Linked DNA regions of Schizosaccharomyces pombe. The protein of the gene in region 3 interacts with the protein of the main gene of each other region in a pairwise test. Each region holds a gene or a part of one and is shown on either strand. Other genes may lie near its edges. The genes, in order: prp40, noc1, abo2 and ypp1.

Region 1 (7,622 bases), on a different chromosome or scaffold from region 3:
CTTGTCCCATAATTGATTATTTGGCTTTGGCTGATGACTTTGCATGTCACTCACTTCATTTTACGTACGGAAATTCTCGGTAAACAATTTTAAAGAATTCTATGCCGAATTTTAGCAAAGCTTTTTGATTACATTGTTTGTACATGATTAGTTAATGAATAGCCATTTCTTATTTAAACCATTTTTCACATAGTGCTGTTGGTACTGTGTACTTTGTTGGAACCGGATTTAAAACCATTGTTGTACTCATCAATTGTATAATCAGTAAATGCATTCAAGTTCCTACAAAACATTTTATTTATATTTAAACAAAAAAATATCTAATTGTTTTCTTCAAACTACTATGCTAAAACTTTACAAATGAGATGTGTCAAATTACAAACTATTTATAAATAAAATTCGCAAACGTTGAAACTCTTCGACTTTCATTAACATCATAAGAATCTATGCACCGGTTCCAAAATTTTTACCCTTCTATACGTGTATCTCCCTATTCATCGTCTTCTAAATCATCTGCTTCAAACCGATCAGGATCTTTTGGTTCCTGATCTTCGTACCATTGGGTAGCATCGTCAATATAACTAAGTACTCTGCTTACGCTTTCCTCGTTTCCGCTCTCAAGAGGAAGGAAATTGACCATATTAAAGTCATCAATCTAGTCATTAGCAGAAGCTCGAGGAATTATGATTCTGTGACTTACCAGTTGAACAATGCACCGATTAAGTTCGTGAAACTTTGGGTTTGTTGTTTCGTTAATTTCACCTGTGAGCAAGAGTGGATCTGTATTGAGAAACCTTTTTAATTCCGCTTTTGTAATGTTATTGTTGTCTTTGAGTAAATCCATTTTGCTCAATAAGTTAATATGCGGGACTTCCATCATAACCATTGCGCTCATTGCGCTTAAAACACCCGCAAAGAACTTTGTACGGTCAACGAGAAATTGGCTTTCTAACAGGTAGACAGCACAAGGACGAAAGTTTAGGGTTACTTGAAGATGGCGAATTAATGCTGGTAAAATTGGTACGTGAGTATACAATTCAATTTGTCCAGGCATATCGAAAATTAAATAGTCTTCGTCGTAATCGCCAATTTCTTCATTTAACCAATCTAAGTTTTCCATCAAAAATTCGAAACAATAAATTAACCCACCATTAGGGCCGTAGTCCAGCTCTTCCATAACATCATCAATGGATATTAAGTCTCTAATATCAACAGTTGGTTCCCATTCGAAGTTTTCTGCAGCAGGATCTAAATTAACTAAATGGCAAGAACGTCCAACGCTTTTCATATAAGACATTAATGCTCCACAAAACGTACTTTTACCACTGCTGGCAACACCACAAACAAAAGCTGCCACCTTAACCATTTTTCTAAAAAGACTAACGTCTTTTGAAACGTCGTGTTCTTTTATCCTATGCCTTCTTACCTGTGCCCGTATGCACCCTTATAACTCGCCATGCGATGCCCTAAGTATTTTACTGACTTTTAACAACAAATACTTTAACTGTGAATAACACGCTCTGTTTAAATCTTTAAGTCTTGCAGAATTTACGTTAAACGTCACTAAAAACATTCATTTTTTTGAATACCCCCTAATATAAGTACGATGTCAATATAGCTTTTTCTACTTCTTGTATAAAATTAGTTTAATTTCTCTTGATACAGCTTAACTCACTCCATATTTCAACTCAGTCATAAGTTGTTTAGCAACGGCTATAGCATCGCTTGTAAATTAACTCACTTTGAAGTCTGTTATTCTCAAGACCTGTTTACAACAATATAGTAAATGTATTCTAAACTGACCACAGTCTAACGTATCTCTATTATCAATTAGATATTACGTAGTTGATAATACAGTGAAACAACGAGTCCCCCACATATAGACTCGACCACCACACCCGTTTGTAGTGAACAGTGAGTGTAACTCTACACGCTGGCTTAAACCACAACCCCAATTTTAAGGGGAGTTATTCATAAATGTGAAGATGTCTGCACCTCCATGGCAAACTTCAGAGTACGATGAAACTGAGGGATTCACGTCTAATCAGGAAGGGCCGTCAGCAGCTCCTTCCAAGACTGTGGCCTCTGACTGGCATGAAGTGAAGACAGAAGATTCTCGAGTTTATTACTACAACTCAGTAACGCGCAAAAGTGTTTGGGAAAAACCAGAGGAGTTAATGAATGACTTTGAAAAAAAGCTTTCGAAACTAGCTTGGAAAGAATATGCCACCGCTGATGGCAAAAAGTATTGGTATAATGTCAATACCCGTGAATCAGTGTGGGATATTCCTGATGAATATAAAGCTGCCCTTGTTGATGAACCGGAACAGCAAAAAAAGGCTTTGTCGTCTAAAATCAAAAGCAATGACAACAAGCCAGCTGTTCAAAGCATTCAACGGCATGGTCCGGATGTTGCTGCTCCTTCAAGTCAACCAGCTAAAGATCAAAGCCAACAAATTTCACAAGGCAGTCATAAACGAACTATAAACTTTGTTCAACAAAAGGATAAGCGCCAAAAACGTTCTAATGATTATCAGCACGAAAACTATGATACCTATGAAGCCGCAGAGCGCGCTTTCTTTAAATTTTTAGACTCTCATAATGTCAACCCAAGCTGGACTTGGGAGCAGACTGTCCGAGAGCTTTGTGATGCTAAGGGCTATTATGTCATGAAGGATCCTTGGCATCGGAAATGTGCTTTCGATGCGTACATCTTAAACTATTTGACCGATCAAAGTGATGCAGAAAAGAACCGAGTAACTAAGATTAGGAAGGAGTTTATTGAGATGCTAAAAAGTAGTGATAAAATTCATTCTTATACTTTGTGGCGTACTGTGAAGAATGAATTTTCTTCTCATCCTGCTTTTAACGCTACTTCTTCTGAAACTGAACAACAACAACTATTTTTTGAATATAAGCAAAAGCTTTTAGAGGATGAAAAGCAGTTGGAAAAGGATCGCAGAAAGGAAGCATTGGATGATTTTTGTTCGCTTTTGCGAAACATGAATTTCGAGCCTTACACCCGCTGGAGCGTTGCGCAAGCAAAATTTGATCAAGATCCAAGGTATACAAGGAATTCAAATATGAAATATCTTTCTAAATTAGATGCTCTTGTAGCATTTGAAGATCATGTTAAGCATTTGGAACGCGAATATATTCTTGACAAACAAAAGCAGAAGAAAGAAAAGCATCGTATAGAAAGGAAAAATCGTGATGCCTTTCGTGCGCTATTACAAGACTTACGCGTGCAAAAGAAGATTACATTACGCACGAAGTGGAAAGAATTATATCCCATAATCAAGGATGATCCAAGATATCTTAACTTACTAGGGCAATCTGGCTCTACACCATTAGATTTATTTTGGGATACGATCGTTGATTTGGAGAATATGTATCGGGAAAAGCGTAATTTGGTTTTGGACTGTCTTGAAGTATTGCAAATATCTGTGGATGACACATCTAATATTCCTGAAATTATAGCAAGGTTATCAGAAAAGCTTAAAGATCGAGAGGAAAGTGAGGCAGTAACTGAAGACCTTATTGAAGAAGTTGTTAATCGATTACGTGATAAAGCGATCCACAAAAAAGCTGAGGAAAAGCGTGCTGATGAACGACGCATTCGAAGGAAAATTGATAATCTCAGAAGTGCCATTAAATACCTTAAACCTCCAATTTCTGCCGATGCTTCTTACGATGAAATTAGACCTTTAATTTCTATTCTACCGGAATTTGCTGCGCTCCATTCCGAGGAACACAGGATGGCTGCTTTTGACAAATATATAAGACGGCTTCGAGAAAAACGGGAATTGGAAAAGCAATACCAAAACAGAAGAGGTTATTATGATGTCGGTAAAGATGAAAGTTATTTAGCGAATAGTGCCCGACCACATAGCGGATACGAAGATGGAAGGTTGGAATATTCTGCTGACTTAGCGTCAAAAAGTAATAGGAATGAAATTAATACGATGCAGGATGTACAGGAAAATTCAATCTCTCATGTTACCGCTACACAACCGGCTGTTAAAAATATTGTTGATGATGCAGAATCTAGTGAAGAAGGTGAAATTCGTTAGTATTCAAGTTAGAAATTTAATTGTTAGTGCGTTTAATACACATGCATTTTAATGTTCTCTCAACTCGCTTTTTGTATTCATACAGTTTGATTACCTTTAGTAGCGGATACAGCCTGTAGCTATTTGAACCTCTACCACCAGTACCTCAAAAATTGTTTTTGTAACAAAACTAGCAAGTTGCTATTAAAATAGCAAAATACTGCTATAAGCGTTCTATTTAATAACGCGTAAGTAAATTTTTATTAAATTTTGTTGCAGCCACAGTTCGTTTTCCGAATTTGACGCTGAATATGTGAATGATCCACGTGTCGCATTTTTTTGTTAAACCTACATTGTTCAATGCACTGAATGTAGCTCTCTTTTTTTAAAAACCTTCTTTCTTATTATGTTTTGCTTGTTTCTCTTGTGATACAATCTTTTTGGTGGCATTCGACCTTTTATTCAAAATTGCTCTTTCTTCGAAAATGAACGATATAGTGCTTCCTATCGAAAAGATACGGGAGTTAATATGTGTTCTTTATTTAAATCTGTTCGGATCTCGTCTAAATATAGTCGTTAGTCAAGAGTTATAAATATTCACATTTAAAGTGGCATCTGGCAGTTCTCAGTTAACTAGAAGTTGGATGGAAGCCTATTACATATTTCACAATTATTCAGCATTTCAATTTCGGAAAAGTTTTGCAATAAGAAATTTGCGAAATTGGTTCTAACTTCTGTTTTAGTTGATATGAGTACAAGTGCTATAGCACTTGCTTTGTCATCATCTAAGGCTATTGAGCAGCTGGATCACGTTCAAACTGAAACCCCTAATCTTAAGCAGGAAATGTCCGAATCCCCTTCGAATAGCGGCGTAGCCTCCAAGCGCAAATTACAATCTACTGAATGGCTCGACCCAGAGCTTTACGGTCTTCGACGTTCTGTATGTCTCACATTATTTTATTCATTATGAAACTTACTTAGATGCTAATCATTATAGGGTCGCACTCGTAGTAATCCAGGAAGATATGTAGACACTGATGATCAAGAAGATGTGTTCCCATCCAAGCATCGTAAAGGTACTAGAAATGGTTCATCTTTTTCTCGTCATCGAACAATTCGCGATTTAGACGATGAAGCTGAATCTGTCACCTCTGAGGAAAGTGAGTCAGATGATAGTTCTTATGGCGGAACTCCCAAAAAGCGATCTCGGCAAAAAAAATCAAACACCTACGTTCAAGATGAAATTCGATTTTCTTCTAGAAATAGTAAAGGTGTTAACTATAACGAAGACGCGTATTTTGAATCGTTTGAAGAAGAAGAGGAAGAAGAGATGTATGAGTACGCAACTGAAGTTTCTGAAGAACCTGAAGATACACGAGCTATAGATGTCGTTTTAGATCATAGACTTATTGAAGGACACGATGGCTCTACACCTTCTGAAGATTATGAGTTTTTAATTAAATGGGTTAATTTTTCTCATCTTCATTGTACATGGGAACCTTACAATAACATTTCTATGATCAGAGGATCTAAAAAGGTCGACAATCACATTAAGCAAGTCATACTTCTTGATCGAGAAATTCGAGAAGATCCGACCACTACGCGTGAAGACATTGAAGCAATGGATATTGAAAAAGAGAGAAAGCGTGAAAATTACGAGGAATATAAGCAGGTAGACAGAATTGTTGCCAAACACTTAAACTCCGATGGCTCAGTTGAATACTTAGTGAAATGGAAGCAGCTGTTATATGATTTTTGCACATGGGAAGCTTCCTCAATTATTGAGCCTATTGCTGCCACGGAAATTCAGGCATTTCAAGAAAGAGAAGAAAGTGCTCTTAGTCCATCAAGAGGTACAAACTATGGTAATTCGCGTCCTAAGTATCGAAAACTGGAGCAACAGCCTTCGTATATAACCGGTGGTGAGCTTCGTGACTTTCAGCTTACAGGCGTCAACTGGATGGCATATCTTTGGCATAAAAATGAAAATGGGATTTTGGCCGATGAAATGGGTCTCGGTAAGACAGTCCAAACTGTGGCTTTTCTTTCATATCTTGCACATTCTTTAAGACAGCATGGACCTTTTCTTGTAGTTGTTCCACTTTCTACAGTTCCTGCCTGGCAAGAGACATTAGCTCTTTGGGCTTCTGATATGAATTGTATAAGTTACCTTGGAAATACCACCTCAAGGCAAGTAATAAGGGATTACGAATTTTATGTTGATGGAACTCAGAAAATAAAGTTCAACTTGCTTCTAACTACTTATGAGTATGTACTCAAAGATCGCTCGGTGCTTAGTAATATAAAATGGCAATATATGGCAATTGACGAAGCTCATCGATTAAAAAACAGTGAATCGTCACTTTATGAAGCACTTTCTCAGTTCAAGAACTCAAATCGATTACTTATAACTGGAACACCATTACAAAATAATATTCGTGAGCTTGCGGCTTTGGTAGACTTCCTGATGCCAGGAAAGTTTGAGATTCGTGAGGAAATTAATTTAGAAGCACCAGATGAGGAGCAGGAAGCTTATATTAGAAGTTTACAGGAGCATTTACAACCCTACATTTTACGAAGATTAAAGAAAGACGTTGAGAAATCTCTTCCTTCTAAGTCTGAACGTATCCTTCGTGTTGAGCTTTCTGACTTACAAATGTACTGGTACAAAAATATTTTAACTCGCAATTACCGTGTCCTTACTCAAAGCATAAGTTCGGGAAGTCAAATATCTTTACTAAACATAGTTGTGGAGTTGAAAAAGGCAAGTAATCATCCTTACTTATTTGACGGAGTAGAAGAGTCATGGATGCAAAAAATAAACTCTCAAGGAAGACGAGATGAAGTCTTAAAAGGTTTAATTATGAACAGCGGGAAAATGGTGTTACTTGACAAACTTCTATCACGTCTTCGTCGAGACGGCCACCGCGTTTTAATTTTTAGTCAAATGGTTCGTATGCTTGACATTCTTGGTGATTATCTTTCTTTGAGGGGATATCCACATCAGAGACTGGATGGCACTGTCCCTGCTGCTGTACGAAGAACTTCAATAGATCATTTTAATGCACCAAACAGCCCAGATTTTGTGTTTTTATTATCCACACGAGCTGGAGGATTAGGTATTAATTTAATGACTGCTGATACAGTTATTATTTTTGATTCCGATTGGAACCCTCAAGCTGATTTACAAGCTATGGCACGTGCGCATCGCATTGGTCAGAAAAATCATGTTATGGTATACAGGCTTCTTTCCAAAGATACGATTGAAGAAGATGTCTTGGAACGTGCACGTCGTAAAATGATTCTTGAATATGCAATTATTTCATTAGGTGTTACAGACAAGCAAAAGAATTCCAAAAATGATAAATTTTCTGCTGAAGAGCTTAGCGCTATTTTGAAATTTGGAGCTTCTAATATGTTTAAAGCAGAGAATAATCAAAAGAAGCTTGAGGATATGAATTTAGATGAAATTTTGGAACATGCCGAAGATCATGATACTTCCAATGATGTGGGTGGAGCCAGCATGGGTGGTGAAGAGTTTTTGAAACAGTTCGAAGTTACAGACTATAA
Region 2 (8,093 bases), on a different chromosome or scaffold from region 3:
AGTAAGATCAAACTAAAACATTAGAAGCTTGTTTACCGTATATTTTTGATCTTAAAGGACTTTTAAGATAAATTTGAACTTATTATAAATAATAAAATGTTAAAAAAAAATTTAACATAATAGGATCATTTTTACTAATTAAATAACGATTATATTAGTCTTTATAACAGCGTTTACAGTCTCCGAATTGCAGTATAAGCTCTAAAACTCAATTGAATAAAGGCATTTAATAGTCAATCATTGTTTTGTTTTCCTTCTAGCTATTTCAGCTCTTCTTGCTATCAAAGCACGGAATGACTTAACGCGGTGTTGTGTGGCTGGTATCAGAGAAAGAATAACTCCAGTAAAGGTACGCAAGCAATCCCAGTATGTCGTCGTTAAAACTATGAATATAATATGTCAAAAATTAATGTGAAAAGACGTTAATCAACACAATATAGAAGTACGTGTCTTATATTAAGAAATCGAAATATCTATAATTGAATTTAATAACGAAATCTTGCGTGACTACGCTATTAATTCTAGTTGTTATGAATACAGATGGGATCAAGGTAACTGGTATTCACCTCCTTTTCGACGTAACCAGAGCCACACATTATACTGGACAAAGGCGTTCTCTGGCGGCGGAATCGAACCAATATATAAGAAAACACTCAAATTCTGGGTTTATTGGAGGAAATTTTTTATTTTAAAAACAGTTTCTTTTACTCGAAAAAGCGTTTTTAATACTTCTTTCTTTGGCTTTGTTTTTACTCGATAGGGGCAAAACCTGTACAAGCTTGATTCGTGAACGTACGACATAATCCTTTGTTTGTATTAATGCTTAAATTATCTTAAGTATTTATTAACGGGGTATTCACTAGTTGAAATACATTTATATATATAAGGTGTTACTTTCGCGACTACAGCTGTTAGCCGTTGCTTTTTTAAGGAATTCGCATAATTATTTAAGAACTCGATTCTGTTTAGACCCACAAAACAACATCCAGATTCGGGTTGATTTTAATTTTTAACTCTCTATTTTTATTACTCTTATTAAATTGTGCCCTTCCATTTTTATTTATAAACTTTAAGATGCGCGTGTACAATAAATCTAGAATTGTAGGGCAGCTCCTTTTTGTGGCCCTCGGTATTACTTTCATCTATTACCTATTTACTCCATCTGTCAATTCAAATGCCAAAGTTCAGATTGAAAACCGTGGGGGGAATTCTTACGAAATATACGATATGAACAAAATTACGGAATCTTCCGATCCCATTCGTAACAAAGAGGAGGTGTTAATCTTAACTCCTATTGCTCGATTTTATCCACAGTATTGGAAAAATCTTCTTGAGCTTGACTATCCGAGGAATTTAATTTCTTTAGGGTTTATTGTTCCTTCGTCAAAGGACGGTGCAAAAGTTCATCGTGAACTTCGGAATGCTATCAATGCTGTTCAGAAAGGTCCAGGCGATAAGCGTTTTGCCGATGTTAAAATTTTAATCCAAGACTCTGATCTTTCTTCAGGGCAATCAGAGGCCGAACGGCATAAATTTTCTGCCCAGAAGGAGCGTCGGGGAAAGTTAGCTGCTACCAGAAATACATTGCTGTTAAGCACTCTAAAACCTAGTACCTCTTGGGTTTTGTGGCTTGATTCTGACATTGTAGAAACTCCCTCCACGTTAATCCAAGATTTGGCGGAACACAATGAAGACGTGTTGGTAGCTAATTGTTTCCAAAAGCAAGGCGATAAACTAACTCCTTATGACTTCAATAGTTGGGTCGATTCTCAAACCGCGCAGGAGCTTGCAAGTCACATGGACAGGGATGAGATTTTGCTTGAAGGATATGCTGAATTGCCTACTTATCGAATGTTGATGGCTAAAATTTATGAGGAGCACAAAGATCCATCTACAATTATGGCTCTTGACGGTGTAGGCACCACTGCTTTACTGGTGAAGGCAAGTGTTCATAGGGATGGCGCATTATTCCCAACCTTCCCTTTTTACCACCTTATTGAAAGTGAGGGCTTTGCAAAGATGGCTAAGCGTTTAGGTCATGGAGTTTATGGATTACCCTATTATTTAGTGTTCCATCATAATGAGTAGGGGGATGGATTAGGATTGCTTTTTTCATTTGCATGTGCTTTGCATGCATTGTGAACGTTCATGCCGTTTAACCCATATTGGCTAAATCGTTTATTTAAAGAAAAGAAAAAAATCCTTTGTACTTGTAAAGTAAGCAACCACGAGGAGTTAAGCTTTGCATTATCTAATCATGCTCGCTTATGTGTAGACAACCATAAATGTGTTAATTAGGAATCTTCTTAGGATTCTACTGCGTTAGAAGTCTTTTCTCTGTCTTGTTTGCTGGAGCTGTTTCTGCCTTAAAATGCGAAAATGCTGTAACTGGCATGTCTTTCTTTTTTTTCTCTCTCATTAATACTTGCATTTGAAATTTTCCTTTATGGCATATCGGCCATTCGTAACTCATTAACCCAGAGTTGCAGCTCATTGACTGGTGAACACTAATTCATTAACATTCGTTGCAAAAATTTCGCCAATTGCATGATAATCTGGTCTATATTTTATTCTTATAAAACATCTATTATGCTGACAATTGTTAATTTATTTTGCAGTAGTCAAGTCACTGTATGAATATGGTAGCTGGATTTTTTGTATGGTTTTAATGTAGTACAAAATTGAGTATTACTTTTACAAATGTAGCCACTTTAAATTTTTATAATATGTTCTAGTACAAAAACAATATCCCAAAAAGTATTTTCAAAATTTGAATGCTTTCCTTGTTTAGCGTATAACATTAGCGTACGTTATTTTGTTCTGAAGGACTGGTTAGTGTCGCTATTGACTTCTGCCAGTATTCACCCCTCTAAAATTAATTTTAATAATTGTTACAAATAAGGCCCTTTTGATCTTCTGACTGTTATAAAACATTACCCTTTTATTTTTGTTGAATTCCTAGAAGACTGGTTTATCATTTAAGGAAGGAGAACAAAGCAAAAAAAAAATTCGCGAGATGGCAACGTTGTACCCCAAACCAAAACGAGGGCAGAAGATTATTTTTAATGAAGAAGGAGAAGGTACAATTGATACTAAACCTCAGGGGGTCATGTTTGATCCCGGAGTTCCATGGTATAATATTCCTTTGCCAGAATTGCATGAGGATAAAAAGTTTGTAAACGTAGATCATGTCTCTGAATTAGAGACGCGTGGATTATTGCTTTTGAAAGAAGACTCAGAAAGGTTTTCAGAAACTCTGGGACATGGAACAGCTGACAAACGGATGTTACAAACTCTCATTAGTTCTGGTACCACCAGTGATCGTATTTCCGCACTCACCTTACTTGTTCAGGAATCTCCCATACATGCAGTTAAGGCATTGGAAACTTTGCTTTCTATTTGTTCCAAAAAATCTCGTAACGAAGCTACTCAAGCTATTACCACTCTCAAAGACCTTTTTATCGGAGGACTTCTTCCAGACAGAAAGTTAAAGTATATGAAACAGCAATCTTGTTTGGGGTCTAAAAACGTTACAGACAAACATCTTATGGTATGGGCTTTTGAAAGTTTTTTGAAGTCATTTTATTTTAAATACATTCAAATCATTGAAGCTTTGTCTTTTGACGCACTTCTATTTGTAAAAAGTCAAATGGTTTCTACTATCTATGACTTATTGAAGGCTAAACCTGAACAAGAACAAAATTTGCTCAAGTTGTTGATTAATAAACTCGGTGATAAGGAGAATAAAATTGCCTCTAAAGCTTCTTATTCAATTCTCCAGCTCGAAGCTAGTCATCCTGCAATGAAGCTTGTGATTACTAAGGAAATTGAAAGATTCATCTTTGCACCTTCTACAAGCCGTACCAGTTGTTACTACACATTGATAACGTTGAATCAAACTGTTTTGACTCATAAACAAGTCGACGTTGCTAATTTATTAATAGAAATATATTTTGTTTTTTTTACTAAACTCTTGTTTGCTTTAGAGAAGGAAGAGGTTGCTGATGCTCCTACTTTGGAAAAAAAGTCTCTGCAGTCAGATTCAAAAAACAAAAAGTCACAAAAACGAAAGAAGGATGAAGATTTAAGGAAAGAGGCTGAAGAAAACGTTAATTCACGCGTGATATCAGCGGTATTGACAGGCGTCAACCGTGCTTATCCCTTTGCAGAAGTGAATTCTGAAAAATTTGACAAGCACATGAATACCCTATTTGCCATCACCCATACTGCTTCTTTTAATACGTCAGTTCAAGTTTTAATGCTAATTTTTCAAGCATCTGCTAGCCGTGATTTCATTTCGGACCGTTATTATAAAAGCCTTTACGAATCATTACTTGACCCACGTCTAACAACGTCGTCGAAACAGTCTCTTTATCTGAATTTACTTTATAAGTCACTTATTATAGACAACAACATTCCACGTGTTCGAGCATTTATAAAAAGAATGGTTCAGGTCTCAGCGTGGCAGCAACCTCCTTTAGTCACTGGATTATTTCATGTGATGCACCAACTTGTTATCGCCACGACAGCATTGCGTTCTATGTTTACAAATGCTGAAATCCATGACTTTGATGGAGATGAGGAAGAGGTCTTTAAGGATGTTGAAGAAGATGACGTTTCCGAAGATCAAAAGGTAGATTCAGATAAAGACGGGAAATTAAGTGATAAGCAATCTCATTCTGCCTATGTTGTAGGCAATGTTAGTGTTTCAACCAAAAAAGAGCATCTCTCTTATGACGGTAGAAAGAGAGACCCTCAATACAGTAACGCAGATGGCTCATGTCTTTGGGAAATTCACCCTTTTTTGAACCATTTCCACCCAACCGTTTCACTCCTAGCCAAGAGCCTTGTTTATGGTGAAAAAATATTGGGTAAACCTAATTTGTCGCTTCATACGTTGAACCACTTTCTTGACAAATTTGCATATAGAAACCCGAAGAAGTCTGCTGCTGCTCGTGGTCATTCAATTATGCAACCATTAGCTGGAGGCCTGAGCAAAGGTTATGTTCCTGGTTCTACGTACAGTGGTGTTCCAATGAACTCTGAGCAGTTCACTTCAAAGAAACAAGAGGAGATTCCTGTTGATGAGCTTTTCTTTTATCGCTTTTTCAATGATAAATATATCAAGGGAAAGCAGGCTAGAAAGACAAAGGTGGATAGGGATGAAGAGGGTGAAATTGACGAGGATGAAGTTTGGAAAGCTCTTGTTGATTCCAAACCACAATTGGAAATGGATGAAGAGGAAAGTGACTTTGATTCTGAAGAGATGGATAAAGCAATGACCGATATGGGTAGTGATAGTGAACAGTCTGCAGATGAGAATGACAATGAGTCAATGGCTTCCGAAGAAAAACCCATGTTTTCAGACGAGGAAAATCTTTCGGAGATTGCACACTCTGAAGATGAGTTTGATGATACTGTTGATTTTTTTGAAGATGAAAATGATTTGCTTCCGTTCAATGAAACTGACGATGAGGAAGAAATACAAACCGTTGATCATTCCGAGACCCATTCTCATAAAAAGAAAAAGAGAAAAGCAATTAAAGATTTACCTGTATTTGCTGATGCTGAGTCGTATGCTCATTTACTCGAAAATTGATTTTTGCTGCTTAAGTATTGTAATTCAACATTTGGTTATTTCGTATAACTTCGAAGGTTTATTATATTCCTTTTTCCGTTGGTTAGGGGGCGATAATGGATATTTTAATTGGGATTTGCATATTTCGGGTATAGTTTTTTTAGATTAGAATTAATTTGTTAAAAAAAAATTTTTTTTATCCCTATACCGGCTTTGTATTGGATTTATAGTAAGGATTGAATTTTATCATTACTATTTACAAAAGACTATGATTTTCTAGTATAGAAAGTAATATACTCTATGTTTTAAGATGACCGTAATTTCAATTCCCCTTATCAATTGAATAAACAGAAAAATTAATTCTTATATAAACTAAGCGCTCTTTGATTTAATAGTTACTTTACACTACTAAAGAATTTTTGGGAGAATGTTAGCTGTTTTGTTTCAATTTGTCTGAGAAAATGAATGTATTATTTGCTTGTGTTACTCTAAAGAAACGAAAATGCAATCACATCCGTCAGACCAGCAACGATTTATAATAAAAAAGAGATAAAAAATGAAAGTTGTTAACAATAACATCATCAAATTAACAGAGCTTTTTGCGAATATTTTGGTCATTTTAAAAGTTGTGAAACATGTAAAATTTCAGAATGATGATGATCTGCAGTTAAATTTAACGAATAAGCACTTAACGCCCTGAAGTGCAATATATTGCTACACAAGTTATTAAATTTAGCACGATTTGAAAACTTACCCCCTAGCTCAATAATGTAAACATTTATAGCAGCAAAAATCGAATAAATTTCCAGCGGTATTTTTTCGAATTGCGGGTAGGGTGTGTCTATTAGAAAACAGAATACCCTTGTCAAAAAGAAGATACAGGCGTAAACCCAAAAACATGCGCCGCAATATATCGCCATTCGTTTTAAAATATTTAAAAAATTTCGAAACAATGCTAAAAAATTAGTATTGATATTATGGTGTTTAACTTACCTAGGTAGATTAGCCCTCTGGCAATCATCAAAACTCCAAACAAACACCACAGGAAGATTTGTGCCGAAACTGTTGCTTCAAACCCGTATTCCTTTGAAACATATTCAATTAAATCAAGAAAGGCTAGCAAGTAGACTCCGTATCCAAGTAAGGAAATGACAAATATTTTTGAACGGCGTGTCTGAGGTTTTGAGTTGCTGTTTGTGATTGTCGCCTGATTTCTATTTCGAAGATTATAATGTTCCTGTTGAGTAGTCTTCGGTTTTTGCTTGTCATCTTGAGTTTCCTGTCGATCAAATGATGATTCCTCTTGATTGCTCGAAGTCTCCTGTTGATTAGCTTGTGGTTCCTGGGGTACAGCTTTTTGACCAGCCTGTGGCTCCTGTTGGGTGACCTTTGAATAAGCTTGAGGGTTTTCTTGAACAGTCTCCAATTTTTTCCCAGCATTCTGAAGCTCCTCCTCTTGAACTGTCGAAGTTTTCTTTTTGTCCGTTTGTGATTCCCCTTGAGTAATGAAAGCTTCATATTGAGAGTCTAATTGAGGATTTCGAGGATCCTCCTGGTCAGTTGGAAAGTTCGCTTGACCAGTGTGAGATTCCTGTTGATCACTTTCAAAGCTTTGCATTCTTCCCATTTCAATTGAATCAATTCCCATCTCCAGGTCGCATGGTTTTTCTTTTGACTTTGTAAGAATGAATGATTTGATTACTTCCTTCAAGTTATACATTCTATGTCTCTGTTCATGCTTCACAAGTGGACTTGACGATCTAGAAGATCTATTCTGTTCATCTTCATTTTCGTCATTGACATTTTCCGGACACGGATCCTCTAGTAAGGTCTTCTGAATATTTCCAGATTCTGAACCATCTTCCTCCATTTCTTCTTGCACGTTGAAAATGGTTTCATTTTCCAAAACGTAAAAAGACGACAATGATGTTGATGATGTATTCTCGTTAAGCATTTCTCCCATTTCTTCAACTTATCTCTATCTTATTAATTATTGTTAATATTGAAGCAGTAAATCTGTTTTCAACAGTCAGATAATTTATAATTGGGGAACCGAAAAATGAAGACTTCTAAATAAAAACAAATAGCAGCAGTACAATTAAAGCCAAGCGATTATATTGGATTTCTAAAAAAAATAGAAACACCTTGTAACCAACAAATTTGAAACTTCAAAAAGTAGTATTTTAATCTTGGTGATTTGGAATGTAAAGAATATATAACATTTTGACAATTGATGATGAAAACATCGCAGCATCATGACTTATGGCATCTGCAATTTAATAGCAAAAACAAAAATTAATTAAAGTCTCGTTTCTTTATGACTCCTTATATCGTTGGTAAACCAGAGTACGAAATTCAAGGTATTTTAGTACTACCACATAATTTAATTCCTTTTTTTTTTTAAAAACGAAAAGGGCTGAGCAAACCTAAGCTTGCAAAACTTAGTACTGCCAAAAAAATGAGCATTTTATTAAAACTAAGAGCTCTTAGAAGTCAGTAATATCCTTTTAACTTC
Region 3 (9,231 bases):
AAAGTAATTAATTAACCCTGAATTTAAAAAGTAAATCATGCACAGGTAGTCTTGTCTAAAAAGAAAAAAAAGAAGCGGTAGAGAGGATTTGTGTATAAGTCAGGTAGTACTCAGAAAATACAAGTCGAAGAAAAGATAGATCAAAACGGATCATTGTAAAGCATTCAAAATTGAATTAATGGCCCATTGGACGTTATCTCTCACAGACATTTTACTAGAAGGGCTTAACTGTATACGCTTATCAAGCAATTTCCCTGTCACATCGCCATTGACAAACAAATGGGAATGACCATGTACATAGCCAGGCCAAACATAATTTTCGAAATAATGTGGGGGGTCTTGCCAAAATCCTGGAACAATTTGGAGTTAGCCTTAACTGAAAGGTACAACGATTAAACACAGGTGTTATGTTTTATCTGGATAGTTGAATTCTTACCTTCCAACGTTATATAACCAGTACGGGCTTCTCTACGACGCTTAAGCGTATCAAAATCGGTCACCAGCATCAGTCGAATATCAAATGCGTTTATAAGGTCTTCATTAACGTACATCATAAATCCGTCTACGAAAACGAGATGCTGTTCCAAAGTTGGAATGGCCGGTGCCTTGAATTCTTTAATTATATCAGCGTATTCTATTAGGGCTTCAGGAGCAACATTTTTATTTTCCCTATTTCGAAGGTGAGTAGGTAACACGCCATGATCACGGATATAATGCAAATTTTCAAGGAAAGCGTCTAAATTCAACGACTCTTGGCAATCCCAATCGGCAATGCCGTTTTTGACTGGTATCTCAGCATCAGTCTACAAAACAAACGAGTTAGTATATCAATAGGTGCTTTGGCACTACATAAAAACACAGTGTTTGCTTCATCGATAAGATTCAACCATCGGTTTTTAAAACGAGGGTACGATTTATTCTATGACACTTGCAAAATTCGCACGACTAGGCAAATAGACGAAATAATCTAAACGAACCTTGTAAAAATCATCTTCATGAACGAGAGAAGATCCTTCAAAAATGGCATGTAAAAGCTGGCATAGAGTCTGTCAAAACAAGAAAGAGAAATTGGTTAGTACTTCATTTTTTTTTTATTTTGGAGTTTTTGATTTTATTTTATTCTTTCTTATTAATCAAAATTATCATACCGATTTTCCACTACAAGAGGCACCACTAATTTTTTCTTGTTAATAAAAATTCATTAAAACAATTGCCTGTAGAACTTACCTAACCCCAACAATGATAGTTTTCCGAGTCATTCTAATGATAATATGGAAAAATGAAGGTAAAAATTGAGACAAGAAGCCTGGACAGAAGCTGGATACTGGAATTCGGTCTGTTATATTTGCACAACACAATTAATTAATTACCAGCCAAAAGCTGTAAGACAGGTTAACCGAATTTTAAAAAGAATTTGGATTTAAACAAAGCGCCTAGTATCTTAAATCAAGCTCGATGATTATTTGTTATGGAAATAAACGAGAATTTTAAAAAGATATGTGGTAAAGAAGCCGAATCCACAAAATTTTATAACAACCAACAAAACTTTTAGATATACAAGAACAAGTAAAAGATCACTTATAACGATTTCGCAAGTATAAGAAAATGGAAAAAGAAAGGAGTATACAAATTCTTTACGGTATAAATGGAGGATTTGAAAGATAATTTAAATTCACCAAATATTAACGCTTTCGAATACGTATAAGAATTTTTATATGGCAAATATGCCCGGTAAAGATTAATGGTGTTTTGAGTTATTGATCGTTTAAAACAAGAGTGAAATAGGAGGAAGGCTGGAGTTGGTAGTATGAAGATATGGTTAGTAGTATAATCAGTCAATAATACAAGGCTTTGGATGATAGCAATATACTAATCCGCTCCCGTCATGTATCCTTTACGAAAAGATAGGGTAGATAATAAGAGTAAAAAATACAATTTTTGTTTAAAATATATATATTTTTTGATTAGATAAAAAAAAGTGGTTCACTTTTTTTATTTATTTAGCCAAAGTATGTAGGAAATTGGAATTCTTTAATTGTTTTGCGAAAATTATTTTATTAATTATTGCTTTTTCCTTTCAAATTTGTGATAAACTATGTCTGAATAATATTAGTTTGCTATTTTCATTTTTTAAGTCGTTTTAATGTCTTTTGCTTATTGTTTACATTACACTTACTTAGTTCTACGGTAGCAAAGTTTTTATCAACTCCATGAAATGCGAATATTTCGATGAATTTAAAAAATATATGTATATTGGTTGAGTTTCTTGAGGCCTTGTTAAACGATTTTTGTAGTACTACACTTAGTAAATATAAAATTTTTTAACACTAGGTGTTTGGCTTCAGTTTTCCAATTTGACTAGCTTCAATTGCTTTTCCAAAAAAAAAATAAAAAAATAAATAAAATATAATAAAGCTATAAATTGCATGTAAATTGGATGAAACAATAGAATTAGTAATAATAATAAATACTGAATTCAAACATTAAGGAAATTTAAGGACACTATTTTAAAAATGAAATCAATATTGATCGAATTTCAATGGATCTGTATTGAATGCCAATGTAATTAGGAAATTAAAAGACCTTTTGGTTTAATAAAAAAATAAAAAAAGCCGTACCGATCTCTACCTTTGTTCATTATATCAATCTAATATGAGACGTAAAACTACGGATTATGAATAGTAAGTTTTCAAAGAGATTATAAAATAATACTCTTTGCATAAATTCTTCTCATCCTTTCAATTAACAGCGAAACGACGAAACACTGACAATCAATTAAATAAAAAAAAATACTATATCAGTGAGGAACGTCAAGTGAAGCTCAAGATTCGAAGTTGGCAATGAACTTTTATCCTCATAGAATTTCAAATCTATCCACATGTCTGTAAACAATGCATCAATGTATGGATATTACCAATGTACTAAACTGATCGTGGACAAATAATCTCAGAAAAGTCAATTTTTAAACAATATTGTTTTTGTAAAGATACTACTTCTGTTGTTTAGTCCAAAAATCCACTTACTCTACTATGTGCTTTCCTTTTCTTATAACGCATTGTTACGAACTTCATTTATTTACTTTTCCTTACAAACCTTCCATTCGTAAACCAGCATGTGGAAAACCTAAGATATCCCAAATTTTTTGGAGCCTTTAATTGTGCAATTGTAAATAAAAAATCTACATAACAAATTGTCTTAACCAAGTTGACAACGTCTTAATTTGTTGGTGCCAGCAGTGCATTTTGCGTGCAATGCGCAGAAGGGCCAGATCCATTCGTTTTAGTTCTGACGATAATGAAGATAATGAAGAAGATGATGATTATTACTCCAACGCACACAGCGAAAAATCAGAGGATCATTCAAATCATATAAAAGTTTCACATTTTGATCCTTCCTCCTATAAACAAAAGTTAGTTTCAGTGCGTGAAACTCAAAGAAATAGAAAATTCTCTTCGTTACAGAAACATCTAAACACAGAAACGCCTTCTTTTTCTGTTTCTATAGAAAATCCTTCAAAGCCTTCTGCGGCATTCAATGATGCATCATTGGGAAAGAAGAGTACTGAACATCAAATTGATGGTATCAGAAATGGAAGTAGTAACCTTCAAATGGAAGGAAATGATAAAGAGCTAGACACTGATAATAATGAGGACGAATCCACTACCTTTAAGGATGAAGAAGACGATTTGATAAGTCCGAAATCATATCTTACTTCTTCAAAAACCTTTTCGTATCCAAAAGCTCCAACAGAATCAACAAATGGTGATTATTTAGATGAAGACTACGTAGATGGACAAAGTGATCCTGAGTCTTCGAACGCCAGTGATTCTGACTTCGCGGATAGCCCTGATGATTTGACAAAAGTGCGCTCACCCATTCCAAGTAGAAGAGGACGTAGAAAAAGAAAAATGAGAGGTCCAATTTTGCCAGTTAAAAAAAATTTAAGGGTCAAGAAGGCAATGAGTCCTCTTCGCGCTGAGCGAAATTCACCAGATTTCCGACGCAAACTTCGTAGTCGTGACAATCGACCGAATTATCATTTATTTGACTATTACAACGAAATTGCATCTTCCCCAAATCCTTCAACAACGAAGATTACTTATAATCCGCCAAAATTGCCTATGAAAGATTTTGCTACTCTTCCCATCGGTTATCAAAGTACTTGCGATAGTGATGAAACGAGTGAGTTGAGCAGTACAAGTTCAGAGCAAACTTCCGACGTTGAAGGACTTAATGCTTACAATAATTTGGGCGCTAGTTCAGATATTGAGAATGCTCCCTCCTCTCAACTTCACTTTGGTCACATAGACGAAAAGACGATTAGAAGTACTGACCCTTTTGCCAATAGGGAAAATCTTGATTTCAATTCCATAGGAGGACTGGAAGATATTATACTTCAACTGAAAGAAATGGTGATGCTTCCTTTGTTATATCCAGAAGTATTCTTACATCTGCACATCACACCTCCTAGAGGTGTCTTGTTTCATGGTCCTCCAGGGACTGGAAAAACACTAATGGCTAGGGTGTTGGCCGCTAACTGCTCGACCAAAAATCAAAAAATTAGTTTCTTCTTGAGAAAAGGGTCTGATTGTTTAAGCAAATGGGTTGGCGAAGCAGAAAGGCAACTTAGGCTTTTATTCGAAGAAGCTAGAAGAGTACAACCCAGCATCATATTCTTTGATGAAATAGATGGGCTTGCTCCTATTCGATCTTCAAAACAAGAGCAAACTCACAGTTCCATTGTCTCCACCTTGCTTGCTTTAATGGATGGCCTCGATACGCGTGGACAAGTAGTAGTAATTGGTGCTACTAATCGTCCCAACGATCTTGACCCGGCCTTAAGGAGACCCGGTAGATTTGATCGCGAATTCTACTTCCCTCTACCAAATAAGCAAGCACGTATGAAAATTCTTGAAATCAATTCTTTACATTTTTCTCCAAAAATACCAGAGAGCTACTTATTACACTTAGCGGAATCTACGTCTGGTTATGGTGGAGCAGATTTAAAAGCTTTATGCACCGAAGCAGCCCTTAATGCAGTTCGACGCACCTTCCCCCAAATTTACACATCTTCTGACAAATTTTTAATTGACCTGAATGAAATATCCGTTAGCATTTGCGATTTTGTAGTCGCATCTGAGAAGATTGCTGTTTCTACACGAAGAAGTGATGTTAAGCCGAATATACCTATTACGGATTCCCACAAAATTCTGTTTAAGAAAAGTATTGAGGTTATAACGTCAAAAATTAGACGACTATTAAAACTTGACGTATATTTACCAACGGTCGAGTCTTTACAAAAACTTCCTGCTGAAGAGTTGATGAGGCAAAAAGAAATTAACTCTCTAAAAACTACCATGTCATTCCGCCCAAGACTATTGATTACTGATATTTATGGATATGGATGTACTTATTTAAGCAAAGTGCTTTTCTCTATGTTAGATGGTATCCACGTGCAGTCTTTGGATATTTCTGAGTTGTTAATGGACACAACCACATCTCCGAGGTCTTTGTTAACCAAGATATTCTCTGAAGCCCGAAAAAATGCGCCAAGTATTATATTTATCAATAACGTAGAAAAATGGCCATCTCTATTTTCACATAGCTTTTTGTCAATGTTCCTTCTTTTATTAGATTCAATTTCCCCTTTAGAACCTGTCATGTTACTGGGGTTTGCTAATACTAATCAAGAAAAATTGTCGTCTACCGTCCGCTCCTGGTTTCCTTCTCATCGAAGCGAATATCATGACTTGTCGTTTCCTGATTATTCATCAAGATACTCTTTTTTCCATTACTTGCTTAAACGTATTTCATTCCTTCCCATTCACCAAAAGAGCGCCGAAGCAGCAAGCGTTGATATTTTACCCAAAGTACTACCAGTTTCTAAAACATCAGATTTAACCGACAAAGTAAACCGAAGACAAAGAAAGAACGACAAGAAAATAAAAAACAAAATTCAGGTTAAACTTAGCTCAATACTTGAAATGCTTCGCTCTCGTTATAAAAAGTTCAAAAAACCGATAATAGATTTAAATGACATTTACATTGATGAGTCGAACGAAAGGGTGGTAAAAGGAAAATCGAAGGATAATTTTGAGTATTTCCTTTCAGGAAATACAGTCACTCGTAAAAAAGACAATGCTTGTTTCAAAATGATGAACTTTGAGGAAATTGAAAGACGCTTATGGAGTGGACGTTACTGTACTCCTAAAGAGTTTTTGCGTGATATCAAAATGATCAAACAAGATGCGATCCTGTCTGGCGACGTGAACCTCAAACACAAAGCCAAAGAAATGTTTGCGCATGCCGAATTAAATGTTGATGAGTTGATTGATGCAAAGCTGTTGTATGATTGTTGTCAAGTCTCCAAGAGGGAAAAGGCATATAAACAACTAAAACAAAAAAAACTGAACAATGCAAAGGATGCTCATGAGATGCAAGAATCAAAGAATGAAGAAACATTTGTGAGAAACGATGTTGCACAAGAAGACAATTTCATTGAGCTTTCGTCAAATGAGGTTCGCAACGTTTCTAATGATGAACATAAACATACTTTATTTCATGGACAATCACTTACTCATAACAATTTGATTGCTGTCACTCCACCTAGCAGGACTGGTGTTGAACACAAAGAAGAGAACAAAAAATACGATAACGTAAATATTCAAAAAACCTTGGCAAAATGTGCAGAGGAATTTGCTGAACATACCAATTTTAATAAGGTGGAACTACTAGATTTTGTTTATTCCAAATTGTCATCCACTATTTGGGAAAATCGTGAGGAGCATGATCTTCTTAAGATAGTTCGGGATGTAAGACAAACTTTCTTTCGGTCGCTTGAGGATATGGGTGTTTAATGAAATTTTGGGTTAATGTGTCTAAGCGATCTGTTAGTGAGATACAACAAATCTAAATGATAGTTGGTAATGAATGAAAGCTCACAATAAAAGATAGGAACCACGAAAGAAGATACATTTGAAATTGAAAAGCTAATATCGGTTTCCGATGACACAGAATAGTACGTCCTTTGAATTACCAGCATATTTTCCATTTGCATTTAAAAGATAGTAAAATGGACGATCGCGAATTTTCAGAGTGATTGGGTTTTTCTGTAGGGAGTAAGTAACGATTGATACGTCTTTTCTTGGAACAATTAATGATTTAGAAAAATAAAGCTTGTTAAATGGTGATAAAAATCCAGTTACAATTTCAAACCGTTGGGATGGTAAGGTAGAAATTGAATAAATATTTCGTCTTGGTAAAAATAAAATCAACGTTAAAGTAAAGTAAAGAGCAGGAGTAATAAAAGCAGATCCAATATAAGATAATTTCTCGTAATAATCCATATCGACCCAATTGGCAAATATCTCATCTTTTGCGCGATATATGTCAACACTGGCAAAAGAAGTAATCACACAGACATTTATAAGCATCCCGACAGTTAATAAATAAATAAGACTGATTTTCTTATCTGCTTTTGCTTGATATACAAGAAAAGGCTCCCGAGTTGTCATTGCTTGCCAAGCAATTTTCGCTGGGGTTGCATTCCGTTTTGAGGTAATATCTTTCAGTATGTTAGAGTTATGGAATTTTTTGATGGGCGGCTTATTAAACACTCTCAATATTGATATTTCCGAGAAAGACTTCTGAATTGGACGCAATGACCTAAACATAGGATTGAACATATTTGTTGAAACAATTCGAGACAACAACGCCTTATGCCTAGCAACACGTATATTAAAGATTAGCATACTCATAACTTCGCAACATGAAAATGTTCAATTGATCAGCTTAACCCTTTAATTAATTAAATTACCCGTGTAAATTCAAGGGTGAAGAATTGAATGTAAATACGTGTAAACATTTTAGCAAATGTTTTACGCATTCGAATAATACTTAGTGGATTATTGTCCGTTTGATATTACCAAATAGAGAATCCCAATGAGAATATTTAAAAAAATAACGCACTCAACCACGATGAAGGCAGCAGCATGGAAAATGCTGAAAAAAGAAATGTAAATGTCAATTATACGGCTGAATAGTCAGACGTTTTAACAAGCCGGGTGTAAAAATTTTTTTGATCTATTCAAGCGCTGCTTTATTTTTATAAAATATGTACTGGCATTGTTGAAAGCTGACTTTTAGTTCATCATGAACAAAATAATATATTTCGGCTTTCCGAATCGTTAAAATGCAAGAAGTAATTAATGTTACAAAAAATTAAAGATGCCATTTACTTCAACCACTCCTCGTCTATTGTTTTCATACACAAATGAAACGGAAACCGTGTAACCTTGCTACATACTTTTAATACAATTAACACTTTACGGACTACGTGGAAAGTGTAAGACAAAAGCAGAATAGCATAAGTCCTTTATTCATGATATAAGTGCTGAGAACGGAGCTTACTCATCCAAGCATATAGACACACAATGCTCTTTTTTTTTTAAAGAATGCTTGAATGGGCACACGTAGCCGATGTACTGAAGGCATATTTACTAACTGATTCATTACCTATAATTTGAGTTAGTCTAACCATGATAGGTCATTAGTTAAATGACTCGTATTTGCGAAATAGAAACCAAATATTATTTATGATGCAGTAAACGATGAATAAATCCAATAAATGAAAGATTTAGAGATTGAACTTTAACGAAATAAGAAGGGCTTGAGGAAGATGCGAGGAACTGGAAAAGAATGATGTGTAAGAAAAATAATAGACATTATCAAAGAAATAGGCAAAAGGTCAAGCACAACTAGTTGAAGGCAGTCGGTTAGACGAAATATTAGAATCTGTAATACTAATGCAAAAAGAGCATACGGAAGAGAAAGTAGTGAATAAAAGAAAGTCCAAGAATTCGTGGTACTACCACAAGGATATAAGAAGCTCAAAAAAATGGAAATGCAATAGAAAGAAGAAATCATCAAAGGAATGAGAAAATAGATACGAGAAAAATCCTTCAACAAGTTCTTATTGAAAGTAAATGAAATCAAAAATACTCAGTTTTTCTTCCTTTGCTTTTCTACTTCAACAGCTGATAAAATAGGATACCCGATGAAAAGCATTAACAATCCACAACTCAGAAGAATTAAAGTCAAAATATTTACAAATCCACGCAAAGTAAAAATATTCAAATCGCGGCCATCATAGAAATCTTCATTGTGCAAAATATCATCGACTTCCTTAACACTAGGATCCCATAAAAGTGTAGCAGACTGCATAGTCACCGG
Region 4 (6,737 bases), on a different chromosome or scaffold from region 3:
GTTCCCCATTGCTTTTAGGAGATTTCGAACGAGGGTGTCGGAATGTGCTGCTCGGTAAACATAGAAAAAACAATAAAAACCAGTTTCCCAGTCAATGCAGAATTTGAAAACTGTTTGTAATGAAAATAATTAATCGTGTCCGTAAAAGCACAACCTTTAACACGAAATTTGTTTAATTGAGAAGATAAGATGGGGTTTTCGCTTACATATATTTAGACAAGCGCAACATAATAGGGTAAGTATCACAGGAAGAAGAGGAAAAATTAGAATACAATTTTAAAATCATGACAATGTAAGTAGTGTAAGAGCGAGGACTTCTATAATATTTGACAGCGGCAATTCGGGAAAACATATTGCCTAAGTCTGATTTTTTTTGAAGTTCATTATTTTGCTCAAAGGAGTGTGCTGAAAGAAATAAATAAATCAGCGTTAATAAAATTTAATATAAATGAATCAGAATATAAGTTAGATGAAAAATTCGATAAGTAAGCAATCAAGCAGTTTAACTGTTCGGCTAATAATACACGGGCAGGTTTATTCCTATAATATCTAACGGGTGGTCTGCATTTGATATGATCATTGCAACGTTGGTGTCTGACAGAAAAAAGTCGAATTCTTATAGATGAATTCTAGCATTTCTTCAGTCAGAAAAATATATCGAAGACTCTAAGTTTACCCTTTAAATGTGTCACTTGTGGTTTTCTTATACGGAAAAGATACAGAACAATCCACGGCTAAAGGAGATCCTCATCCAACAACCCGAGAAAGTCTATCATTTGGATGAACGGATACTCATCCAAAACTTTCAAGAATTGTGTTTTTTTTGCTTCTATCTTCAATGCCCTGTATCGAACTGAATTGCGATTGTCATTAATTTGCCTTGCTATGCCATACCAAGCCAAGCTATTTTAAGCAAACGGTTTAGTTGGACTCCAATAATAAATGCTTTACAAAAAAGAAATGCGATTGATAAACTAGAACACTCTCCAATGTATGTCTACCAATTCCTAAATACTTTCAATTCGCAACATTCTTATGGCCTTTGTGGTCGCTTCAATTCGGCTTTGAAAACCGGGTTAAAAGGCATCGCATAAATTTGTATCTTCCAAAACAGTTGATTTTATAAAAAGCTCATAAATAATTTCTCAGCGCGAGCAAATGGTAATTTCTTTGAAATCAGCGCCTTTGGAATTTTCATTTTACGCCTTATTGACATTCCCATCGATATACGTAACATGTTACTCCATGATACATGGTTTCAGCTGATGCCAAGGCATCGTTGCGTAAGCATTACGAAGGAATATGATGATGGAAGGAGGCATGGGTTGGGCAGTTTCTGCAGTCTGCTAAATTTAAATAGTCTGCCTATATATATTAAATCTCTCGCACTTTTATGACCTTCCCTCTCCCATACATATTTGCAAGTTTGCGTATAACGTTGCTTTCTAACACAATTTACTTTTAATCCACTTCAAACACTTGGTTTAGCTTTTAAAGAAAAGCTTAGGATTTTGCTACTGTTTGTTACGAGGAATTGTTGCAGAAGAATTCAATTTTTTTAAGTCGTATTTACCAACGATTTTATTCAATTTAAAAAGTTTGACTTTCATAGGCTGTTGCTTAGTTTATCGTCAATTCCTTGCGTATTGCCGGAACCTAGTTAATATCTAAAAAAACACAAACAAACCAAATTCCAAAAGTGGTTGAAAATTGCCGCTTCGCTACTTTTACTATCTCCGGGAAAGAAGACCTGTAATTTAATTTTTTCTTCTTCTTCCAATTCGTACTATTAATATTACCGCTAGTTTCTTCTTATTCTTTCGCCTACTACTTAATTGTTCAATATGCAAATTACTCGTGAGTCAAAATACATTATTGGGCTCGTCTTAGCCTTGGGTGTAAGCTTTGCTACCCTTTTGGCTCATTTGTTTACCAAACCATCTCTTGAATGGGTTTACAATCACCATGCCACTCCATTTTTCGCCAACAAGTTCATGCTTGGTGGCTACCTCTTGGTCGAATACTTGTCTTTCCTTTTGATGATTGTGCCCCTTTTAATGCTTGGTGATCAGGTAAACGATTTTACCTTCTCCATTATTCACACATCTATCTGGTACAATGTATTTGTCGTGTTTACCGTCTGGGCATTTACCCGTGAGAAGCTGTACTGGACTGCATTCTTTTCCTTGTGTCTATTCTCATCTTCTTTCACCATGTACGGCCAATCGCTTCGCTTGAGAAATGGTTTTGTTGAGATGATTAGCATGAAGTTGCCCTCGAAACTTGTTTTTGGCAAGTCTCTTTGGTTCGTTGTTTATGCCTTCTCTGCCGCTTTACACTGCACCGGCATTGGTTGCCGCGTCTTTTCTAATGTGTTTATCTGGTTCTTTGCCGCCATGTATCTTGTTCCTATTTTAGGATTCCATGACTGGGCTCTTTCCCTCGTCAGCGCATACCTTTTCCTTTCAATCGGTATTGGACAAATGTTTATTCACCTCTTTGCCTTGCAACACATTTTCGCCTTTATCATTGCTGGTCTCATGACCCTTTTCGCTGCTCTTCTCTTCCTCCTTCCCTACAGACAGAGACGCGCTGCTTTAACAGGCGAGAGTGCTCCTTTGCTTCAGGACAACAACGCGGGACCCGCAGTTTAAACTCTTGTAGTCTTCTGCATGTTGTTGCTCCGTTCTACTAAATAGTATGATAATGAATTTGCTTAATTGTATTATGTTACACTTAACTTTAGTATAAAAATTTAATTTTTCTCCCATAAATCTTTCGACTCAAAATTCAGGTGGATAGCAGATTAAAGCATAGTTTTGACGATCAACTTCATCATGGTTAATAGCACCCTTCTTAGTATAAAGTTGCTTCGTGTGCTAACTTTACAAGCACTTCATTGACGAAGACATCCAGCTTATTCTTATATGGATCACGAAAGTGTCATCATATTCAACTATTCGTACTCTGGCTAACTTGTACGCTAATTATTTAATCTTATTTGCTTCATGTATTTATTAAAGAACCCTTAAAGCAAAAAACTTGGTATACACTACTTTTTCTTTACTTAGCTCAATATCTCAATTACTTTCTCATGCCGACGGTTACGCACCTCCATTCAACCTTGGCCTACTCCATATATCGAACCATCAAAATTCCTTCATCTTGGTATTCTTGAGGCGTTAAATACCTTCTTTAAACCTTTTCTTTTTACAATTCCTTCGTTTTTCTTGTTACTGTAAATATATATCAATTTATTTAAAGTTTGCGTTCAAAGTTCTATAAACGAATTTTACGTTCCAACTACTGCGTTTGACCTTTTTTTTCTCTTTATATATACAAATACCAAGTTATAAAAAAATTCATGTTTTCCGTACGTCTAAACTATGAGTTTTCATACTGACTGATATAGGCTAAAGCAAAAACCTATGAACTAAAACTAGAACAAACAAGATGTAATGGAGATTGGCAGGCAATTCCTGAGGTTGCTAGAAAATTGCATAAGCATAACTCTTCAAAGTCCTGTGAGTGATTTACAGTCAAAGTTTTCCACTTGTCATCTAGACTAACCTTTTTTTAGTCGTTTGTGAATTAGCAAAAATTGAAGCTTCTCTTAAATCAGCATTAACTGCTGAACTAAAAAATATTGCAAACGTTTTGGAGCCTAAATTAATAGATAATCAGTATTCCCTAATTCCGGCTTTACCCAGTGCTCGTACCGACCCTCTTCTAAGTCAATTAAACTCATTGAACATTCAAAATGCCACAGAAGATGAGAAGCTTCAGGAGACATCCATACGCTTGTTATTATACATTGTACAGCGTAAATTTCCCGAAGCCGTAGATTTAGATTGGTCTCCTCAAGGAATTCCGTGGACTGAAACTTCCACTGGTATATGCATCCTACAAGCAACAGTGCTATCATCGCTAGCTCAATATGCTCAAGCTAACGATGAAGTTGCATATCAATACGTTCGTTCGGCCATTGGCTTAATTCAAAATGCCAATATTGGCAAGAAGCCTTTACCGGAACTTACAAGATGGTGCGATCTTGCATATTCATTGTATGCTCAAATGTCTGTAAGCGCTTGTTCGAGTCAATTAGAAAGAGCTAATATACTTACTACATGCTTGAGCTATTTTACCGAGCATAAGTCCGTGAATTTGCTTTATAAACTAGTTACCAGCAGACAAGCTATTAAATATTTGGAACATATTTTAAGAACTAATACAAATGGATCAAAAATTTTTACTAAAAGTCCGGTTAAAAATCTTTATTTAAATTGGCCTCAACTTGTCCTCGATTATGGGTCTTTGTTATGTAACTTTACCTCTTTTCCTAAAGCTGGTGATCAAAACATGTTCGCCGTTGAATTTATTGAACTTGCAACATCAATATGGATAAACACAGAGAAATCTTACGATATCACTGTCAGCTTGATTCGAATGCTTTATCAGCTTACTGGAAAATGCTTCCAAGCACAACAAATTTTTCGTTCTTTGGTATTTTTTTTAAGGCATATTGAGGAATTTGAAGAAGCTAGCGAGGCTTTTGAAATTTACAAGTTTCTATGCGTAAAATCTCACGAACGGTTAGCAAGAAAAAATTCAGATGTCGCTGGCTCTTTTTCTGATATCAAACCAGTGTTTGTTGATGAACCGAAAAGTATTATTGAAGTATGCTCCGTTATGATGACCGTTTATGCGCAATATCTTCGTAATTTGAAAAAAGTTTCTGAAATACTTGATTATATTACAAAAATTGCTTCTGATTATGATTTACTGAAACGTGACGATATTGCTCCTTTAATTTATCATACAGAAGGAGTTGCTTATTCTTTCATGTATTATCAAGCTAACAACCCTTCGTTAAGGGAAAGATATCACCAGAAGAGCGTCCAATCTTACCAGAAATGTCTAGAAAAGCAACCAACCAATACAAATGCACTTTTCCATTTGGCTATGCAATATTCGGAGAGACGTGCCATTACTGATGCAATGCAAATTGTTCGGCGACTTCTTGAGGTGAACCCTAAGTACAGTATTGTATCTTGGCATCTTTTGGTTTTGTGTGTGTCTTGTTCTGAACAATACGCAGCAGGAATTAAGCTGATCGATAGTGTATTTGAAACTTGGGGCATTAATCATGTCAATGAAGATGGCACTATTGAGATTAGTTTGACAAATTTGACATTTAATGACCGCTGCGCTTTGGTCGATTTATTGATTACGAAACTAGCTCTTTTTGAAGCCGAAAAAGGCGTAGAAGCTACTCTGGATATCCAGGATGAAATATTTACATTATTTGCTAGTATTTTTGATTTGAATGAGTACAGGATATCAAAGGAAGGATCGTCAGATGAATTATCAACGCTTTTAGAACGATCGACTATTCAATCCATTAAATCATCCAAGAAAATCTCTAAAGATGTGGAAAATGAAAAAGGAAGTATTCTTGGGTTTTCCAGGAAATCATCGCTTAAGAGATCTACTGTTTTAAGCAAAAAATCCCACTCTTCCTATAAAGAAAATTTTCAGTTACGTCGTGGTAAAACCGTATCATATCTCAATCAGAAGCTTTGGCTTACCGCTGCATCTCTTTTCCTTAAAAGTGGAAATGATGATCAAGCACGAAGCGCTTTACTAGAAGCTAAAAAAATAGACCATGAATGTGCTTGGGTGTACTATTTAAATGGTTTATCTTTACTACAACAGGGAAAAGAAGTTGAAGGGTATGAGCAACTTGACGTTGCTCATTATTTAGACCCGGAGGATCCCTTAATTTCGACGGCCCTTGCAAAGTGTCTTTTACAAGGTGGCTATGGGCCTATGCATTCTCGTAGAAATAGAGCAGATGCTATTTTATCGAGCTGTACTTTGCAGTATGGCTGGGATCTACCAGAAGCTTGGTATTATACTGCAGAAATATTTCGTCAACTCGGTGATTTAAAACAAGCTGCGTTTTCGTATGATTATTGCATCCAGCTAGCTGATACAAACCCTGTACGCCGATGGAGTAACTTGCAGCCTAGGTTTATGAACGTTTAAACTGTCTACATTTTTTGGACTTTTATTATTTATAAATTGAATTTACAAACTTTAAGGCACTTTCAATAGTAATTTATATGTTTCCTTTGTAGTGATTGTAACTTCAATATGAACTCACATAATAGACATAAATAGATAAATGTTATTTATGACATTGTGTTAAATTAATAACGAAGCAATTGCACCTTGAATCAGTATCTATAACAGTCTTCTTTCCAAATCACCAACAAACAAATAGCATTAGATAATTGCACCGAAAATAACGATTCAAGGACATTTCAAAATTAGCGATTATTTGGTCTGTATTTGCAGCGTCAAAAAACTAAGAGCTTTCAGGAGTGTTGTCTATAACATCTTTGGAAGATTCAGTATAGGCAGAGGATCTTGAATAATATTGATCCAAAATCTTCTTAGGAATACGAGTTAACATCTCACGAGGGAAGATGCGAAGGAGGGACCAAGCCAAATCCAGTGTTTCAAAAATAGTACGATTCTCGTAAGCACCTTGACTAATGAAAGTCTTTTCAAATTTACCCAAAAATTCAAGAGCAAGGCGATCTTCTTGAGAAAGGGCTTCCTCGCCAACTACTGATTTCATGGAAGCAGCATCACGACCGATGGCATACATTGCATACAGCTGGTTAGAAACATCACCATGATCATTTCTAGTCATTCCTTCACCAATGGCA

Evidence for each region.
Region 1: the proteins of abo2 (region 3) and prp40 interact in a two-hybrid assay, tested with the Schizosaccharomyces pombe proteins (one large-scale study listed by BioGRID).
Region 2: the proteins of abo2 (region 3) and noc1 interact in a two-hybrid assay, tested with the Schizosaccharomyces pombe proteins (one large-scale study listed by BioGRID).
Region 4: the proteins of abo2 (region 3) and ypp1 interact in a two-hybrid assay, tested with the Schizosaccharomyces pombe proteins (one large-scale study listed by BioGRID).

What each region holds. Positions count from the first base shown.
Region 1 is NC_003424.3:5,373,627-5,381,248, forward strand, and holds prp40 (U1 snRNP-associated protein Prp40), read left to right. Parts: upstream 1-1,940; 5' UTR 1,941-1,985; coding exon 1,986-4,073; 3' UTR 4,074-4,136; downstream 4,137-7,622. Other genes in the region: protein new13, read right to left, coding at 1-10; GTPase Fet5, read right to left, coding at 491-655, 701-1,366; CHD family chromatin remodeller Hrp3, read left to right, coding at 4,801-4,992, 5,050-7,622.
Region 2 is NC_003424.3:4,844,303-4,852,395, reverse strand, and holds noc1 (ribosome biogenesis protein Noc1), read left to right. Parts: upstream 1-2,863; 5' UTR 2,864-3,016; coding exon 3,017-5,599; 3' UTR 5,600-5,777; downstream 5,778-8,093. Other genes in the region: mannan polymerase complex subunit Mnn9, read left to right, coding at 1,075-2,088; protein mug126, read right to left, coding at 6,267-6,292, 6,333-6,533, 6,572-7,541.
Region 3 is NC_003423.3:1,436,593-1,445,823, reverse strand, and holds abo2 (ATPase histone chaperone), read left to right. Parts: upstream 1-3,102; 5' UTR 3,103-3,251; coding exon 3,252-6,857; 3' UTR 6,858-6,989; downstream 6,990-9,231. Other genes in the region: nrk1 (nicotinamide riboside kinase), read right to left, coding at 151-350, 437-803, 978-1,046, 1,149-1,173, 1,228-1,259; SPOM_SPBP22H7.04 (uncharacterized protein), read right to left, coding at 6,990-7,757; actinomyosin ring linker protein Sbg1, read right to left, coding at 9,001-9,231. UniProt on the Schizosaccharomyces pombe protein: Probable ATPase which may play a role in nucleosome organization.
Region 4 is NC_003424.3:4,540,710-4,547,446, forward strand, and holds ypp1 (cargo transport protein Ypp1), read left to right. Parts: upstream 1-3,126; 5' UTR 3,127-3,364; coding exon 3,365-3,373; intron 3,374-3,412; coding exon 3,413-3,524; intron 3,525-3,580; coding exon 3,581-6,048; 3' UTR 6,049-6,237; downstream 6,238-6,737. Other genes in the region: SPOM_SPAC637.03 (uncharacterized protein), read left to right, coding at 1,845-2,654; vma2 (V-type ATPase V1 subunit B), read right to left, coding at 6,371-6,737. UniProt on the Schizosaccharomyces pombe protein: Involved in endocytosis.